4 linked regions of the Saccharomyces cerevisiae S288C genome follow. The gene in region 1 interacts genetically with each later gene. Each region holds a gene or a part of one and is shown in the gene's direction. Other genes may lie near its edges. The genes, in order: SCW10, YPS3, SED1 and MRH1.

The links.
Region 2: of SCW10 (region 1) and YPS3, changing one enhances a phenotype caused by changing the other (phenotypic enhancement), as found in Saccharomyces cerevisiae (one study listed by BioGRID).
Region 3: of SCW10 (region 1) and SED1, changing one enhances a phenotype caused by changing the other (phenotypic enhancement), as found in Saccharomyces cerevisiae (one study listed by BioGRID).
Region 4: mutations in SCW10 (region 1) and MRH1 together harm fitness less than expected from each alone (positive genetic interaction), as found in Saccharomyces cerevisiae (2 studies listed by BioGRID).

The regions. Positions count from the first base shown.
Region 1 is NC_001145.3:878,563-883,625, reverse strand, and holds SCW10 (putative family 17 glucosidase), read left to right. Parts: upstream 1-3,393; coding exon 3,394-4,563; downstream 4,564-5,063. Other genes in the region: FKS3 (putative 1,3-beta-D-glucan synthase), read right to left, coding at 1-2,467; ubiquitin-specific protease UBP15, read right to left, coding at 4,947-5,063. UniProt on the Saccharomyces cerevisiae protein: Glucanases possibly play a role in cell expansion during growth, in cell-cell fusion during mating, and in spore release during sporulation.
Region 2 is NC_001144.5:387,264-392,288, reverse strand, and holds YPS3 (aspartyl protease), read left to right. Parts: upstream 1-2,018; coding exon 2,019-3,545; downstream 3,546-5,025. Other genes in the region: YLR122C (uncharacterized protein), read left to right, coding at 958-1,335; YPS1 (aspartyl protease), read left to right, coding at 4,069-5,025. UniProt on the Saccharomyces cerevisiae protein: Cleaves proteins C-terminally to mono- and paired-basic residues. Required for cell wall integrity.
Region 3 is NC_001136.10:597,698-602,309, forward strand, and holds SED1 (Sed1p), read left to right. Parts: upstream 1-3,095; coding exon 3,096-4,112; downstream 4,113-4,612. Other genes in the region: phosphoprotein phosphatase PP4 catalytic subunit PPH3, read left to right, coding at 1-385; putative DNA-dependent ATPase RAD55, read left to right, coding at 771-1,991; SHU2 (Shu2p), read right to left, coding at 4,501-4,612. UniProt on the Saccharomyces cerevisiae protein: Component of the cell wall. Major cell wall protein in stationary phase cells. Required to stabilize the cell wall in the absence of multiple GPI-anchored mannoproteins.
Region 4 is NC_001136.10:505,960-510,519, forward strand, and holds MRH1 (Mrh1p), read left to right. Parts: upstream 1-2,187; coding exon 2,188-3,150; downstream 3,151-4,560. Other genes in the region: LYS14 (Lys14p), read right to left, coding at 3,778-4,560.

The DNA.
Region 1 (5,063 bases):
GCAACTTCCGGGACTCAGTATGGTCAGAAAGCGGGCTAGACCTTGGATCGTACAGAGCATCCGGAATTTCCAATCTATCTTCATCATGACTGCTCTCTGCCTCTTTCAAAAAGCTCTTTTCCATGCTTAGTAGTTTGGTATCCTTAACAAAACATTCCCATTCTGTAGGGTGTAGATGCTTCAAATACTCAAGCACCGTGATTTTACTTTTAGGAGATTCTTCCCTGATAATTTCCTTCAAGCCCAACAGAATCTTTTCTGAATAATGGGGTACCAAAACGGTAAAAGTTGGCATACAATCCACTGGAACAGGTTCTGAAATGGGGGTCGCCAGGGATTGGGCAAAAAAGGATATCCTTCTTTTTGCCTCTGAATTTGATGGAAAAAATTCCATTGACTTGAACGTTGAATCATCTTGTGCAACGAAAAATGTAGGCGATTTCAGGGTTCTTGTGTCTCCCATTAAGGAGTCAACTTGCTGAAACAAGAGTCTTTGTAAATGTTCAATGGAGAGAAGATGTTCCCTATACATTGATATAACAATGGCATTCCAAACCTGCGATATCAGTATTTTTGCTTTAAATTTTACATCCATCTCTGAAGTAGCAAGGATTTTGGAATATATCCTTTTTGGCAATCGAGAGTATACATTCTTCCATGGCGTGAGAATTGAAGTACCAAGAGAAAATGACAGTACAATGGAAAAAATACAGTTGCAAATAATGTACCAAAGGTAAGTGTCGAGAAAAAACAGGCCCAAGTCAGAAAGCAGCATGAGAACTAATGTAATTTTGGCTTGCCATTTACATAGAATAGGACCCAACAAATATTCACCTTGACATCTGGACAAATCCATAATAGAGAGGACCCTGATGGGGTCCCTGAGGGACAAGGTCAAAAAAAAATAGGACTCAATATATTTCGCCAAATACACAAATACCCATAACCCATAAGAAAACCATTTGCTGCGTCCTGTCAGCTTAGGAAATGAAGCGGTAAAGGTTTGCGATGAGATGTACCTCCGATGTTTTTTGTCTTTATTCAAATATGGACGAAATAAGCCGCCCAAAGGTCTGACAGCAAAAAAAAAAGTGGTTAAAAATGCAATGATTAGTTGGACGATGGACACGATATACGCAGATTTTGAATGAACATCCCATTCGAAAAACCCCAGAACATACACGGAAGGTCCCAAATTGATTGCAAGACAAAAAAGTAAGCCAATCATTCTACTCGATAAATGCTGAGCGCCTGGCCATTCTCGAGGTACAAATCCCCACTCGAACACGGTGGCTAAAATTTGAACTAAACATGCAATTGTGCCTCCAAAGGCAATCACTGATAGTCTAACTTGGGGTGTAGGCTGGTTATTCAATAACTGTATATAATTCTTGGTGTACAAAGTGGGGGAATTAAATGTGGTGAAGAACCAAAACGGTGCAAAATGGATAATCCAGAATCTATTGAAATTGGTAAAACAATGCTTCCAACTTCTGGTTTCTCTATATGTCTTATAAAATACTTTAGACCATGCAACGTCTTTAAAGTAAAGATATCTCTCCTCCAATGGCTTGTCAACTAATCGTTCTCCATTGTTTAAAATAATACGTTCAAATCCTTCCGGGTACCAAAATAATTGATTGATGTCGTCGTAACCAATAATATTCTTGTGGTCTTTTTCTCTTCGTTTCCAGTTCCCCTTTGCGTCTTTTTTGTATACTTGGCCCCTTAGGAATTCGTATAAGGGAGTAATAACGTCATTTAAGTATGAATACTCAGGTGATTTCACCGTTTTTTCGCTACTTGACGTACTAATATCATAATCAAGTGCACATTTGAAAATAAAGCAAAGGCATTCTGGGGCGAATCTGACTTGATTGGCTTCACCCCAGCAAAGCAAATAAAGGGCCAGCTGTCTTATCATATTTTCGGGCGTCAATTTTTTCATTTTCAATTTCCATTTGTAGTCTGCACTTTTCAAGTTTGTCTGATCTTCCAATTGTTCTTGAGTCAGTGTGATCTTTGGATGGTTATTGATGAACTCTTGCTCCTTCTCATTCCATTGCTTAATTTGTTCCTTTATCGATACGCCTCTTTTCTTCGCCATTTTTACGTTTCTTTGGCGTGCCTTTCCATGTAGTCGCATGTTTTGAAACCCGATCTCTTCATCTAAATCGAGCTGAGCGGCAAAATACCATTTTCTATAATTTGCGTGTTCGCCTCCAATATATGAAACATGTAGCGATACTAAAGCATTTTGAGCACCTGTACGACTTGCCCTGGAGTCCAGCTGTCCCATTAAATGTTGATACATATTTTCCATAGAAGATTTCTGGAAGCCAAACTTATCCATGAGCTCCACAAAAATTTCTCTAATTTCCTGCATTGTTATTGGGACTTCATCGTCTTGGCACCAAGCAGGATACTCAACGTCAGTTAGCGAAAACTTGGGACTCATAAAATCCATATTCAACTCCTTAACTTTCCTTCTCAGTATGTTTTTCTTTTCCCAATATGCAGTTCCACAGCCCTTAATGATTAAGTTGTATAGTGGCAAATCCTAGAAGGCATAATTACTTTTGAAGGTTCTCGCCAAATAGCCGCTGACCATGTAAAACTCTTACCCGCATAATTTAACCATCATTGCCGCACTAGGCAAGATGGTCCGATCTTGATGGGCGAGAATGATTAGTTCAGAGACGTGCAACAGCCATATACGAAAGCTGTCTCGGCCTTCACTTATGCTGATACCAGGCACGGTAATAATTAAGAAAGAATGCCTCCCTCTTTCTTTTTCTCAGGCAAGACATCTAGATTTTCTTTTTATCTAAGCCCTCAATGACAAAAATATTTGTTCCTTACATATCCCCAGAGATCTTCGGTCTAGATTTCGCGAAAGACCGTTTGCAGTAATTTACCTTTTTCGGAAAAGTCCTCGAAGATTTCGGACGAAGTAAAACCTGAAGAGAAAAATGCCAAGACTTTTAATTGCGCGAAACAGCGGACAAAAAATTCGCGTTGAAACGTTTGAATATGGTAACAAACGTCGCACGCGTTTGAAAGTTATTCGTGTTTTCATGTGTACAGTAACTTCTCCATCGAGAGCCGTATCCATAAGCCTTCTTTTCCACGTTTGTTTCAAAACTGTAGTATTTATAATGGAGGGAAAGATGTCTGCGTGAAGTTTGTCTTACAGTGTATCTTTGAAGCGTGCATCATATTTTTCCCATTTTAAATTCATCTATTATATAGGCCCAAATAAAAGAGTTAAATACTATACTTTTGCAATATTGAGCTGAACATCCAACTGTCACGTCTCTCCTTTACTATTACTGTTCTTTTTTTCAAATTGTCAAAAGATAGTATTAACGCAAAAAAAGTCTTCATTCCATTATGCGTTTTTCAAATTTCCTAACTGTATCTGCATTATTAACCGGAGCTCTAGGAGCTCCTGCTGTTCGCCATAAACATGAAAAGCGTGACGTTGTTACTGCCACAGTCCATGCGCAGGTTACTGTTGTCGTTTCCGGTAACAGCGGCGAAACTATTGTTCCAGTGAACGAGAATGCTGTTGTAGCTACTACCAGCAGTACTGCAGTTGCTTCTCAAGCAACTACATCCACTTTAGAACCAACAACTTCCGCTAATGTCGTCACTTCTCAACAACAAACCAGCACTCTTCAATCTTCCGAGGCAGCATCTACGGTTGGTTCTTCGACTTCATCCTCACCCTCATCCTCATCCTCAACTTCATCTTCAGCTTCATCCTCCGCTTCATCTAGTATCTCAGCCTCCGGTGCTAAGGGTATTACTTACAGTCCTTACAATGATGATGGGTCCTGTAAATCTACTGCTCAAGTCGCCTCAGATTTAGAACAGTTGACTGGTTTTGACAACATCAGATTATATGGCGTTGACTGTAGTCAGGTTGAGAATGTCTTGCAAGCTAAAACTTCAAGCCAGAAATTATTCTTAGGCATATATTACGTTGACAAAATTCAAGACGCCGTTGATACTATTAAATCTGCAGTTGAGTCTTATGGCTCCTGGGATGATATTACCACTGTTTCTGTCGGTAACGAACTGGTCAATGGCGGTTCTGCCACTACGACGCAAGTCGGTGAATACGTTTCCACGGCCAAGTCAGCTTTAACCTCTGCTGGTTATACAGGCTCAGTCGTTTCCGTTGATACCTTCATTGCTGTTATAAATAACCCTGACCTGTGTAATTATTCTGACTATATGGCTGTCAACGCCCATGCATACTTCGATGAAAATACTGCGGCCCAAGATGCAGGACCATGGGTACTAGAACAAATCGAAAGGGTTTACACTGCTTGTGGTGGGAAAAAGGACGTCGTTATTACCGAAACTGGTTGGCCATCTAAGGGTGATACTTACGGCGAAGCTGTCCCATCTAAAGCAAACCAAGAAGCCGCCATTTCTTCTATCAAAAGCTCCTGCGGCTCTTCAGCTTACTTATTTACCGCCTTCAATGATCTATGGAAAGATGATGGGCAATACGGTGTTGAAAAATACTGGGGTATTCTATCAAGTGATTAAACCACTGAAACTTCATTTACTTTATGATCATTCTTTTTCCCTTTTTCTTAAAAAGCAGCCAAATATGGGGGAAATAAGCCCTTTCCCATATTTGCTCTCCTATTCTTATCACGTTATTGTTTACTTATGTGTTTTGTGTAAAGTATATATTCTATACTCATTTGTGAAAGATTTTTCAATTTGTCTTCCTTTTAGCTACGGGTCCTCGCTGCTCTATAGTTTGTGTTCTAACTTATATATATATATATATGCGGCATTACCTAAAAGCAAAATAAAACTGTAGAGCATTGCCTGTGTGGAAGTGATGGCGGCTGAGAGATTATCATAAAAAAACATAAAAAAAATGGAGAAAACATCAAAGCTAAACATAGTCGTAAGACGTATCAGTTTTTAATGATCATTGGTCTATCATAGGAAGAATGCGATCTCAATCTATCCGGATGATCCATGTAGATATAATCTAAGTTGGACATAATGTCATACAATATAACTTTGTCCAA
Region 2 (5,025 bases), on another chromosome or scaffold:
AACGTGTCTGTGAATGACTTCTTTCCGCTTGCGCACATTTTTCTACTGGCTCTCCTCACTAAATGTTAAGATTTCTGATATATGTGGACCACATTTCACCATTGTTGAAATGGACGGTATGATATGATTCGAATAAGACCTGGAATATGCACTCTAGCATACCAGGAGCTCTGGACATTGTATTCTTCTCATCTATTGTAAAACATCTCTCAATAGTAACGTATGAGTAATGATTCGGAATGGCATCTAGATTAGCAAATACTTGCTTGCTTGTTGAGGATAACCGTAAACTCGTCTGTTCTTAGTGCAAAAACCGTCCCAAAAGTAACAGACGGTAACTCATTCTACATTAACATTGGATGATATGTTGACAATAAATTCCGAGGGACAGCTCCGTTTCCTAGTGAATCTCGGTGGTTGTAATGAGGGTAAATCGCTGAGCATTTTTTTTTCTTCTCTTTACTACACCATTTAGAGTTCTCACTTTGTAAAATTCCGTCCTGATATGAGAATATATATCTCCACGAAGCAATACCAAGCACAAGAAAAACATAGCAATTTTTGCAAGGCCCGGTAACGCAAGATGTGATAACACGCTGCATCATTTTAATTAAGAGCGCGCCACTTCTCCAGATAGTGCTGTATTCATATATGTAAGTGCTCACACTTTCTGGGAACAGCGGAGTCATTAGAAGACTGGCTTCGCTGAAGTTGCTAGAACGAGCAAATTACAACATTATATTCAGCTTCAAGAAAAAACGCAGACAATGGACTCAGGATGATGAGAGGTTCCTTTGTACCACTAAGATCGACTCGTCCTAACCCTATATCCCAATCCCAAGACTAGGCGAACCAACATTAACTGGGCTCGTAATAGGGCAATGATAATGCAAAAGCGGCTCCTAAACAGAAATTCTTCAGTAGTCAAATCTCGAAATTGCCTTGCTCGTCATCAACATGAATCGTCTATATCAAAACTGCATGTTTCTCTACGTCTACACAGATGTTTGCGTCCGATTGTGCGCTTCGATTTTTTACATAATGCTGGAAGCAAAGTTTGCTCTCAGAATTCCTGCCCTTCGCCCCAGTTACACGTGGGGACAATGGCGCTCTTTCATACAGTCTTCATTCTATGGCCGCACTTTTGTGGCATTCTCTGGACCGTCCATGAAAAATTATATAACTATTTGCTTTCTATTGAAGTCTATTGAAGTTAGCGTGGATAGAACGGCGTTACATGGCACATCAGCTGAAGCTAGCGCAAGTAATTTTCAACGCATTCAAACGAAAAACTTATCTAAATACAATTGTAACATACCGGCTTGCTGTGTGTGAACCCCTTTCCCCAATTGTATATCAGAAACGTCTGAGTGGAGGGTGAGGAATCACTCACTACCTTTTCTCCATTCGACGCCTATAAGCAGCGTATTTTAAAGGAAAGGGGAATTAGTGCGGAGATGGGCCAGAAATGTACTCTTTTTTTGGCAGAGTTTTTCCGGGCGGGACAAAACAATGGCGTGGGGTGATGAAATAAGCAAAATTCAATATCCCTTATGACGGAATGGCAGAATTGGCCACCATTTTGTCTTGGCATTCAATATACATACAAATCTTCACTACCGCGATATTGTTGGTAATGGAGATTGCTTTTTGGCCTCCTGGCTTATAGGGCTCTGAGTCTCGTGGTAGTGGAATCCGGCACAGAAACGAGAATCGGATATTTGGGGCCGGGCCATGTACAGGCAAAAGAAATAGCGAAAATATCTCTTATTTTTTTCGCGCTTCCTTTGTAGTAGAAATTATTGGCGATCGGATTACTATTCGCGGAAAAGAAATTAAAAATAGCGAAGAACTTAGAACTATAAGCCTCAAAAGGAAACTTGTGTGGTCGAAGGCTGGACGCCATAATAATATATATATGTACGTATATATATTATATATGAATATCTGTAGCCGCTAACTTGTGTGTTTGTGAATTTATATAGGATAAATAGAGCAAAATTACTCGGCATTGAAAAATGAAACTTCAATTGGCGGCAGTGGCTACATTAGCAGTCTTAACTAGTCCGGCATTCGGTAGAGTACTTCCCGATGGGAAATACGTCAAGATTCCCTTCACAAAAAAAAAGAACGGCGACAATGGTGAACTCAGCAAGAGATCGAACGGCCATGAAAAATTTGTACTAGCTAACGAGCAAAGCTTTTATTCTGTTGAGCTAGCCATTGGTACACCTTCACAAAACCTCACTGTGCTGTTAGACACAGGCTCAGCTGACTTATGGGTTCCTGGCAAGGGAAACCCCTACTGCGGTTCTGTGATGGACTGTGACCAGTATGGCGTGTTCGACAAGACCAAGTCGTCCACGTTCAAAGCCAACAAGTCCTCGCCTTTTTATGCCGCTTACGGTGACGGAACCTATGCAGAAGGTGCATTTGGTCAAGATAAATTAAAGTACAACGAATTAGACCTCAGTGGTCTATCGTTTGCCGTGGCCAACGAATCTAACTCAACCTTTGGTGTGCTCGGGATCGGCCTTTCCACGCTTGAAGTCACCTATTCTGGAAAAGTCGCTATTATGGACAAGAGAAGCTACGAGTATGATAACTTTCCCCTGTTCCTAAAACATTCTGGAGCCATCGATGCAACCGCATACTCTCTTTTCCTAAATGACGAGTCACAGTCCTCCGGCAGCATCCTCTTCGGCGCTGTAGATCACAGCAAGTACGAGGGCCAACTGTACACTATCCCGTTGGTTAATCTTTATAAGTCGCAGGGTTATCAGCACCCGGTGGCGTTCGATGTCACTTTACAGGGCTTAGGACTGCAAACCGACAAGCGCAACATCACATTGACCACCACCAAGCTCCCAGCCCTACTCGATTCAGGCACAACGCTAACATATCTGCCCTCCCAGGCAGTGGCTTTGCTAGCAAAGAGCTTGAATGCCTCGTATTCCAAGACATTGGGTTATTATGAGTACACGTGTCCCTCGAGCGACAACAAAACCAGCGTGGCCTTCGACTTCGGTGGCTTCCGTATCAACGCTCCTCTATCCGACTTTACTATGCAGACCAGTGTGGGGACCTGTGTCTTGGCAATAATTCCACAAGCGGGCAACGCCACCGCTATCCTTGGTGATTCCTTCTTGAGAAACGCCTACGTGGTCTACGATTTGGATAACTACGAGATTTCCCTAGCTCAAGCCAAGTATGGCACGGGGAAAGAGAACGTCGAAGTCATCAAATCTACCGTTCCCAGTGCAATAAGGGCCCCCAGTTACAACAACACTTGGTCTAACTACGCCTCCGCCACGTCCGGTGGTAATATTTTTACCACCGTGCGCACTTTCAATGGCACCAGTACTGCCACCACTACGAGGTCAACCACCACCAAGAAGACAAACTCTACCACTACTGCAAAGTCGACTCATAAAAGCAAGAGGGCACTCCAGAGGGCTGCTACCAACTCCGCTTCCAGTATACGCTCTACCTTGGGTTTACTGCTAGTCCCCTCCTTACTCATCCTTTCCGTTTTCTTTTCGTAAAAAAAAACAATAGACACTATATATAGACACTTTTTCCTTTCCTTCTTTGCGCGATTTCAAGAGGAAAAGCATACTTAAATAAGAATATTCCTAAAACACACGTTCTGACGCGTCAATTAGATCGTCAGACCTTGCATGCAGCCAAGACACCCTCACATAGCACTGCCTCCTTCCTCCTCTTTTCTGTCACCACCTCACCTCCCTCGTCCACTCAACTGAGTGGCTTTTCGCTCCTTTTATACTGCGCCATGAGTAGTTTTCGTTTCACTGATGTGTCCGAAAAAATTGAGGTTTCATAAAAAAATTCGTGGACTTATTTATGGAGAAACAGGGAAATCCGACTACTTAAGAAAAGGGTGTCAAAGAGGATTTACTTTTTTCCTTCTTTTTGCATTTGTTCCTATTTCCGCAATTGGACGGTTATTAAGAAGAACGCAATTGGCTTTTCTGTATATTAAAATACATAGCGTAATAAAAAGATAAGGTGAACACCAAGCATATAGTATAATATTACCTACCACATATGAAACTGAAAACTGTAAGATCTGCGGTCCTTTCGTCACTCTTTGCATCGCAGGTTCTCGGTAAGATAATACCAGCAGCAAACAAGCGCGACGACGACTCGAATTCCAAGTTCGTCAAGTTGCCCTTTCATAAGCTTTACGGGGACTCGCTAGAAAATGTGGGAAGCGACAAAAAACCGGAAGTACGCCTATTGAAGAGGGCTGACGGTTATGAAGAAATTATAATTACCAACCAGCAAAGTTTCTATTCGGTGGACTTGGAAGTGGGCACGCCACCACAGAACGTAACGGTCCTGGTGGACACAGGCTCCTCTGATCTATGGATTATGGGCTCGGATAATCCATACTGTTCTTCGAACAGTATGGGTAGTAGCCGGAGACGTGTTATTGACAAACGTGATGATTCGTCAAGCGGCGGATCTTTGATTAATGATATAAACCCATTTGGCTGGTTGACGGGAACGGGCAGTGCCATTGGCCCCACTGCTACGGGCTTAGGAGGCGGTTCAGGTACGGCAACTCAATCCGTGCCTGCTTCGGAAGCCACCATGGACTGTCAACAATACGGGACATTTTCCACTTCGGGCTCTTCTACATTTAGATCAAACAACACCTATTTCAGTATTAGCTACGGTGATGGGACTTTTGCCTCCGGTACTTTTGGTACGGATGTTTTGGATTTAAGCGACTTGAACGTTACCGGGTTGTCTTTTGCCGTTGCCAATGAAACGAATTCTACTATGGGTGTGTTAGGTATTGGTTTGCCCGAATTAGAAGTCACTTATTCTGGCTCTACTGCGTCTCATAGTGGAAAAGCTTATAAATACGACAACTTCCCCATTGTATTGAAAAATTCTGGTGCTATCAAAAGCAACACATATTCTTTGTATTTGAACGACTCGGACGCTATGCATGGCACCATTTTGTTCGGAGCCGTGGACCACAGTAAATATACC
Region 3 (4,612 bases), on another chromosome or scaffold:
AGAAGTTCCACATGAAGGTGCTATGTGTGACTTATTATGGAGCGACCCCGAAGACGTTGACACATGGTCATTATCACCAAGAGGTGCTGGATTTCTTTTCGGTAAAAGAGAAGTTGATCAATTCTTAGAGAAAAACAACGTTGAGTTAATTGCTAGAGCTCATCAGTTAGTGATGGAAGGTTACAAAGAAATGTTCGACGGTGGATTAGTGACAGTCTGGTCGGCACCGAATTACTGTTATCGTTGTGGTAATGTAGCAGCTGTATTGAAGATAGACGACGATTTGAATCGTGAATATACAATTTTTGAAGCTGTTCAGGCACAAAATGAAGTCGGAAATGCTATAATTCCAACCAAAAAATCTCAAATGGACTATTTCTTATAAATTTTTAACAGGCACTCTAATTGTCAAGTGCATTTTTCTTTTTTTCTTCATAATGCAATAAAGGAAAAAAAATTGTAATATTACATACTTCTTTTCACATCTTAGCTAATTAACAATATGGCTTTTGAATACTAATATATACCCAGCTACCGTTTCTTCTTTTATTTTTTATTCCTTTTTTTCTTCAGTAGAATATGTTATAGATGCGGAGGTCCCCTAAGTTCTTCACGTGTTCTCTTCTCATCGCGTTTGATATGAAAAATAGAAAAAAATACATAGTAGCATGACTAACTAATAATAAGCTCCGCTATCAAAGATGTCAAGTACATTAAGGAAAGCTTTTAGATAAGGAAAAGAACTTATTAATAATATATAATATGAAAATATGTCGCTTGGTATACCACTTTCCCAATTAATAGTAGAAAGTCCAAAGCCATTAAGTAGCGGCATCACAGGATTAGATGAGATATTAAACCTGGGATTCCAGGCAAGGTCGATCTACGAAATATTTGGGCCTCCGGGCATTGGCAAGACTAATTTTGGCATTCAATTGGTGTGTAATTCGTTAGAAGGCATACAACAATCGGAAATAAACGACGATAAAATTCTATGGATAGAAACATTTCAAGAAATGCCCATAAACATACTAAGAGAACGCTTTCAAAAATTTAAAATCGTGGAAGAAAATGTGAAGCGGGTCCGAATAACGAAATTTGGACAGCTATTATATTTCTTCCAGAATTTGTTCAAATTATCTCAAAGTGTGCGATATAAACTAGTTATAATTGATGGATTTTCTCAATTAGTCTGCGATCATCTGTGTACACTAAGTAAAAGAGGCGGCGGAATGATAGATAAAACTATACACGAGTTAAAATGTCGACATTTGATATTAATTTTTACGGTAATGACCAAATACACACATTCCACGGGTTCGACAATAATAGTTTTAAATGACTGTATGAACACCGCCTTCCAATCAAACGAATTCGAATCCTTGGAAGAATACTACGAAATTTTAGACGACGGATCTAACTTCTTTGTCAACTCTAACAACGAAAGGCGTAAGAACAATGTACATATATTGAAAAGCGCGCTCGTTGCCAATATCGCTATGGGAAGCAAGGATTCCACTTGGGAAGTATTTCTAAGAGACAGGATCGGCCTTTTTAGGGATTGGAATGAACAAGTGGACGAAACCGTTTTCGTGAAAAGCAAAAGAGTGAAGGCGTCATCCTCGCAGAGTAACGAGGGATGTACTACCATCAAAGAAATGAGAATAAACAAACGAAACTTTGAAAACTTGAGAATAGCTATTGTTTTTAATTTACACGGCGAAGATAGAAAAAGAGAAGGACGAAATTTAAAGCGGTCAAGAAGCAGCGACGATCGTAACTATATTGTCAAATTTGATTTTGATAAAGCAACAGGTCAACTCCGCGATATAATTGATCTGAAACCTGATACTGCTAATATTGCCTCATTTCCAACATTATCAACAAGCAGCAGCAGTTGCTCACAAGTGTTTAACAATATTGACTCCAATGATAATCCATTACCAAATGCGGAGGGAAAGGAGGAGATAATTTATGATAGTGAAGGTTAATAGTAAAATAAAAAAACCGAAAACCGAAAACAATAAAAAATGGAAAAACGACAACATTCCACCCAACAACTACAAAGAAAAGTTAAGGGTAATTTTACCTATTTAGGATTTTAATCTGTTGGAGTTAAGGTGAATACGTTTTTCCATATTGGGGTATGCAGCTCGAACCTAAAGTGGTATGTACACATCCCCTCAAGCACACCCATTACCCTTATAGGATTAATGTAAGCAACAGCTTACACGGAATTGGAAATACTATTCAACGATCCATGCATCTGCCAGATTCGGACATGCATATTCCCCAATTGGATATAGAAAATTAACGTAAGGCAGTATCTTTTCACAATGTACTTGCAACGCGGCGACTTAAAGTTGAAGTACAACCTGCAGCAGCGGCTTTTTGTACGGTACGCCAAACTGTCAATGGATAATATTGCGTAGACCGAAAAAGGTAATCCTCAACACTACCCGTGGTGGATGACCTAAAGCAGTAATATTGGTTGGAATTATCTCCCAGACGGCACCGTCTCCCCGAGAAAGCTTAGCCCCGAGGTCTACCTTCCATACACCACTGATTGCTCCACGTCATGCGGCCTTCTTTCGAGGACAAAAAGGCATATATCGCTAAAATTAGCCATCAGAACCGTTATTGTTATTATATTTTCATTACGAAAGAGGAGAGGGCCCAGCGCGCCAGAGCACACACGGTCATTGATTACTTTATTTGGCTAAAGATCCATCCCTTCTCGATGTCATCTCTTTCCATTCTTGTGTATTTTTGATTGAAAATGATTTTTTGTCCACTAATTTCTAAAAATAAGACAAAAAGCCTTTAAGCAGTTTTTCATCCATTTTACTACGGTAAAATGAATTAGTACGGTATGGCTCCCAGTCGCATTATTTTTAGATTGGCCGTAGGGGCTGGGGTAGAACTAGAGTAAGGAACATTGCTCTGCCCTCTTTTGAACTGTCATATAAATACCTGACCTATTTTATTCTCCATTATCGTATTATCTCACCTCTCTTTTTCTATTCTCTTGTAATTATTGATTTATAGTCGTAACTACAAAGACAAGCAAAATAAAATACGTTCGCTCTATTAAGATGAAATTATCAACTGTCCTATTATCTGCCGGTTTAGCCTCGACTACTTTGGCCCAATTTTCCAACAGTACATCTGCTTCTTCCACCGATGTCACTTCCTCCTCTTCCATCTCCACTTCCTCTGGCTCAGTAACTATCACATCTTCTGAAGCTCCAGAATCCGACAACGGTACCAGCACAGCTGCACCAACTGAAACCTCAACAGAGGCTCCAACCACTGCTATCCCAACTAACGGTACCTCTACTGAAGCTCCAACCACTGCTATCCCAACTAACGGTACCTCTACTGAAGCTCCAACTGATACTACTACTGAAGCTCCAACCACCGCTCTTCCAACTAACGGTACTTCTACTGAAGCTCCAACTGATACTACTACTGAAGCTCCAACCACCGGTCTTCCAACCAACGGTACCACTTCAGCTTTCCCACCAACTACATCTTTGCCACCAAGCAACACTACCACCACTCCTCCTTACAACCCATCTACTGACTACACCACTGACTACACTGTAGTCACTGAATATACTACTTACTGTCCAGAACCAACCACTTTCACCACAAACGGTAAGACTTACACCGTCACTGAACCAACCACATTGACTATCACTGACTGTCCATGCACCATTGAAAAGCCAACAACCACATCAACCACCGAATACACTGTAGTCACTGAGTACACTACTTACTGTCCAGAACCAACCACTTTCACCACAAACGGTAAGACTTACACCGTCACTGAACCAACCACTTTGACTATCACTGACTGTCCATGTACTATTGAAAAGAGCGAAGCCCCTGAGTCTTCTGTCCCAGTTACCGAATCTAAGGGCACTACCACCAAAGAAACAGGTGTTACTACCAAACAAACCACAGCCAACCCAAGTCTAACCGTCTCCACAGTCGTCCCAGTTTCATCCTCTGCTTCTTCTCATTCCGTTGTCATCAACAGTAACGGTGCTAACGTCGTCGTTCCAGGTGCTTTAGGTTTGGCTGGTGTTGCTATGTTATTCTTATAAACGGTGGTGTTTGACACATCCGCCTTCTTAATGCTTTCTTTCAGTATTATGTTATTTTTTTGTTATTCGTTTTTCACTTCTAGGCTTTTTGACAGACTAGCCCCGTTATACCACCATCTTTGTGGGAAAGCCCCTAAATTGCCCTGAGCAGTATCGTTTCATGTCTAGTCTCTTTAAAGATGTTTCTTACGCGTTGCGTGTAAAACATCCTCTCATTCAAGACAGGGTTTTCTAAAAGCAATAGGGGTAGTTTAATAATTCTTATATAATCATCATATACACTATTTTTAGTTCTTAATTCTTTAATACAAACTTATTAATGTGCTCTCCATTGATCTCTTAATCAGGAGGCGATATATACCGGAAGCGGTGTACTTTTCTTCACCTCTTACTCAACTATGTTGATGTGCAAGTTTAACCACTCGTCGATATTATCTATTGCTATAACGAAAACTTTATTCGAGTTCACAGTGAAAAACTTCAGCACATTTATGGAAGAT
Region 4 (4,560 bases), on another chromosome or scaffold:
ACCTAATTTTGTTTTCATATTTCAATGCCTTTACAAAAAATTGAGAACACAGAGAAGGCCTCCGATTTAGAATAGTACAAAATATCTATTTTTTTGCATTTAGGCTCCGTATAGAGTAAGCGAAGAAAACCGCCTGATTCAAGTGATTCTGCTTTTTTGGTTTACTTTCCACGCAGATTGGCTGCTCTGTTTGTTTATTTGTTTTGGGAACGCGGTATTACCTCTCATTTCTCTGAGCGACTTTTCAACTTGGCGCGCCGACATTTGCGCTTTTTTTTACAAGTTGTCAAACTCTCGGATTATTTAAAAAAAAGGGTTTTTTGCTCTTCTTGTTCCCATCTACGGGTTTCACGGAAAAACTACCCCGAAAAAGAAGCACAGCTTTATAAAAAGACCGTATTAATTTGCTTTATTGGGTAATAACGGGGCATTCGGGACATACAATCATACGCTAGATGCTGCGTGTAATAATTAACATTGTAAATCCCTATCTTTTTTTTTTATATAAGTAGAGTACTTTAAAAAGAGTGGACGACTGAGTTCATATACAAGCAGACGCCCTTTCATTTAATCTCAATCTTGTTTCAGGCCGGCTTTTGTCCATAACTGCTACGCTGCGTAAAAAAAAAATAAGAGAAATTGAAAAATATGGGCGTCGTCTAAGGATGGTAACTAGCTTCATTATACTATGGGTCTTCCTTCTTTTCCAACGCTTCCACTTTGACCTCAATCTCTTCTCGATGGCCTAAGGTAGCAAGGTTGTGTTAAAAAAAACAAATACATCAGAGCAAGACACTTTTGGGTTTATTAGGTATTATAGGTATAGGTCAATTAATTTCTTATCTTTTGTTGAGAGGATAAGGGTAATATTAGCGACCCTTAAGTAATTTTTGTTCTGTTTTACTTCAGTTTAATAAAAGCGACTGCCGCCGACCTTACTCCCTTTTTTTTATTATGCTCCTCGAGACAAGGTCGCTTAAAAAAAAAAAAAAGCTTAGTCAGACATGCAATCAGCGCAATTTATGGAAGCTGGAAAGGGGGGCCGCATTTTATGCACTATCTCTTGAATTCAAAAAGTAATTCAGGCCAAATTAACTAAGGATGCAAATGAAGCGAGTACTGAACGAATAGTCATGTTCTGAATTTCAAGCATTCAAATTTTGCTTTTCAGCGCTGTTCATCTTAGCGCTTACCATAAAGAGGAATACGTAATTCAACAACGGAGTTGAAAAATTTTTAAAATCGTGCCGGTGTTAGTGAGAAGAGGATGGAGGGAATTAATACTTCGATGGAAGATGCAACTTGCAAATGTAGTCCGGTTACCAAGAGACCCAAACCTCTTCCACTTTACTATTTCTCCTTTGAGAAATATATCAGTTTGCGGTAATAGGTAATATGAAAAAGGCAATAAAAAAAAGAGATACTTGTCACCATCTCGTCTCCCTTTACCTTTTTTACTTAATCTTCTTCGTCGTCATCTGTTCCATCCCTTTCCTAGCTTAGTCTTCTCCGGCTAGTTCTTAGTGCGGTGAGCAAAAAAAATAGCGTTTTTTTTCCCTCACCAGGACTTTTTTTGTTAACCGAAAATCGGCATCTCTAGTTTTCCTGGACAAAAAAGGCAAAATGGAAATAAACACTCATACGAATCAGTAAAGATGTAAATAATCGCAGTAACGACTGCACAAGGATGTCAGAAAAAGCAGTTTAATTCCAGAAGTGGTTTTCCAATTTATCACACATGTACATGAAGGGAAATGTATAAATACGGTCTTCGTAAAACAAAGGATCTCTTCACCTGGTTTCTTCATTTATAAGTAGTGTCTTTTTCGGTAACTTAAGATATATCCTTATTTCTTTCCCACTTCTCGTTATTTCTTCTTTTTCCCTTTTCAAGTTCTTCTTTTTATTTATTATTAAGCTTATTTTAATTCTTAGATCGTTGTCACTATCTTTTGTCCTTATTGTTAAGAAACATTGCGAAGAAAAAGAATAATAAAAGAAACTCAGAAAAAAAAAAAGTTTCCTCGAACAAAAATATTATTATTTCAATAACTTTTTCTTTCTCTACATCCAATTTTTTGACCCTATTTTAACATTAATTTTTTGCTTTAATTTTAACTAATACCTAATTTCACTTAATATCTAATCATCTTCCTTTAACCCACAGAACAAAGAAGAAAAATAACAATGTCTACCTTTGAAACTTTAATTAAAAGAGGTGGTAACGAAGCCATCAAAATTAACCCTCCAACCGGTGCGGATTTCCACATCACTAGTCGTGGTTCCGATTGGTTCTGGACATGTTTCTGTTGTTACCTATTATTTGGTTTAATTTTAACATTCTTAATGTTCAGAAAACCAGTCAATGACAGATTCTTTTACCTTACCGGTATTGCTCCAAACTTTTTCATGTGTATCGCTTATTTCACCATGGCTTCTAACTTAGGTTGGATTCCAGTCAAGGCTAAGTACAACCATGTCCAAACTTCTACTCAAAAAGAACATCCAGGTTACAGACAAATCTTCTACTCTAGATTCGTTGGTTGGTTCTTAGCTTTGCCATGGCCAATTATTCAAATCTGTATGCTAGCTGGTACCCCATTCTGGCAAATGGCTTTCAATGTTTGTATTACTGAATTCTTCACTGTTTGTTGGTTGATCGCTGCCTGTGTTCACTCCACTTACAAATGGGGTTACTACACCATCGGTCTAGGTGCTGCTATTGTCGTTAGTATCAGTGTTATGACCACCAGTTACAACTTGGTGAAACAAAGAGATAACGATATCAGGTTGACATTCCTTGTTTTCTTCAGCATTATTATGTTCTTGTGGATTATTGCTTACCCAACTTGTTTCGGTATTACCGATGGTGGTAACGTTTTGCAGCCAGACTCTGCCGGTATTTTCTATGGTATCATTGATCTTATTTTGATGTGTTTCATTCCAACTTTATTGGTTCCAATTGCTAACCACTTCGGTGCTGACAAATTGGGCTACCATTTCGGACCTAGTGATGCCGAAGCAGTGATGGCTCCAAAAGCTCCAGTTGCTAGTCCAAGACCTGCTGCTACACCAAACTTGAGTAAGGACAAGAAAAAGAAGTCTAAGAAGAGCAAGAAATCTAAGAAGTCTAAGAAGTCTGAAGAATAAGCCAATCGTCATGTCAATTATGTGCTACTTTCTTCTTTCTTTCAATCATCTTTGAAGAATTTTCTACTTCAAGCCAATCCTATAAATGGATAAAACTGTCTTTATTGATTATTTGACAAGATTATTTTACTCCATCTTCAACTTTTATCATATTTTATTTTATTTTCCTGACGTTTCAATATTTTCGTTCGTTAAATTATCACCATTTCTTGTCGAATTTTTATTTTCTATCATAAAGTGCAATTCTAGACTCATTTTTTAATTTAATGGATCCATTTAATCCATTTCGTCAAGCAAGTATGTTTTCATAACAATATTTTGCTCAGTGCATTTTGATCAAGAAACGTATAGTTGATGATTAGAAACGAGCTTTTTTATGCCCATCGTCATCTATATATATATTTGTATCACTTTAATAGTTATTTTAATATTTGATAACAACCTTTCTAATAGTATTGTTATGGAAGGTTTAGTGCTGGAGGAAAAAAAAGAAAGATAAAGGCACGGTGCCTGCTTTGCGCGGCATTCTCGAGAAAAATAGTTCTCGGACTTTTGACGTGCCAGTGCAATTATCCGTACACAATTTTATATCAATCTACAGGCAAAATTATTACGTAAACAGACAAACTACCATGTTAAAACGTCTTGTTCTTCTAACCTGTAATTTTGATTTTTACCATACCAGACCTTTTCCAGTCTGTTAAGATTATGTTCTGTGAGCTTTTGAAATTTTCCACCATTGATTTTATAATATCTTTTAACAATCGCTCTTGTTTCCTCGTCCATTGCATTCAAACCTGCAATCAATACAGCAAAATTACTATAACAAGTCCTTGAATTTTGTGGCGGCGAGTCACTGTCTAAGAATTTGAAGAAAGACATGATTTTCTTGACCACTTGTTGAATGGTACTTGACTCTTTTGGCATACCTAAAAGTTTTAATAATACAATTAATAAGAAAGATAAAACTTGTGTCTGATGAGAAATATCATACCAGCTGATGGCAACTTCTTCACCGTTCTTTAATGTCACCATATCGATGGCATTATCATGAATATTACTAATTCTAGGGTGTGACTGATTGTCTGAGGGTATAATTCCAGATTTGTCAATAAATTCGTAATCTAATTGCTTGTCAATTTCCACTAGAATTTTCTGCGTATTGAAATATGATATCTGGTCTTTGGACTTTTCGGACGAAGTTTGGGATGATAAAAGCAGATAGTCTAATTTCTTAGTGAACAAACCTTCTTCTTTAGAAAAGTAATTTTTTTCAGTTGACCTAATTGTATTGAGTGATTTGAAAACTTCTTTAATAACAAGATCGAAATCTTCTTTATGTCCTCTTAAAAGATTAAACTCATTTAGTGGAGTCATAATATTTAAAAATTTTAACGAGTCAACATATTG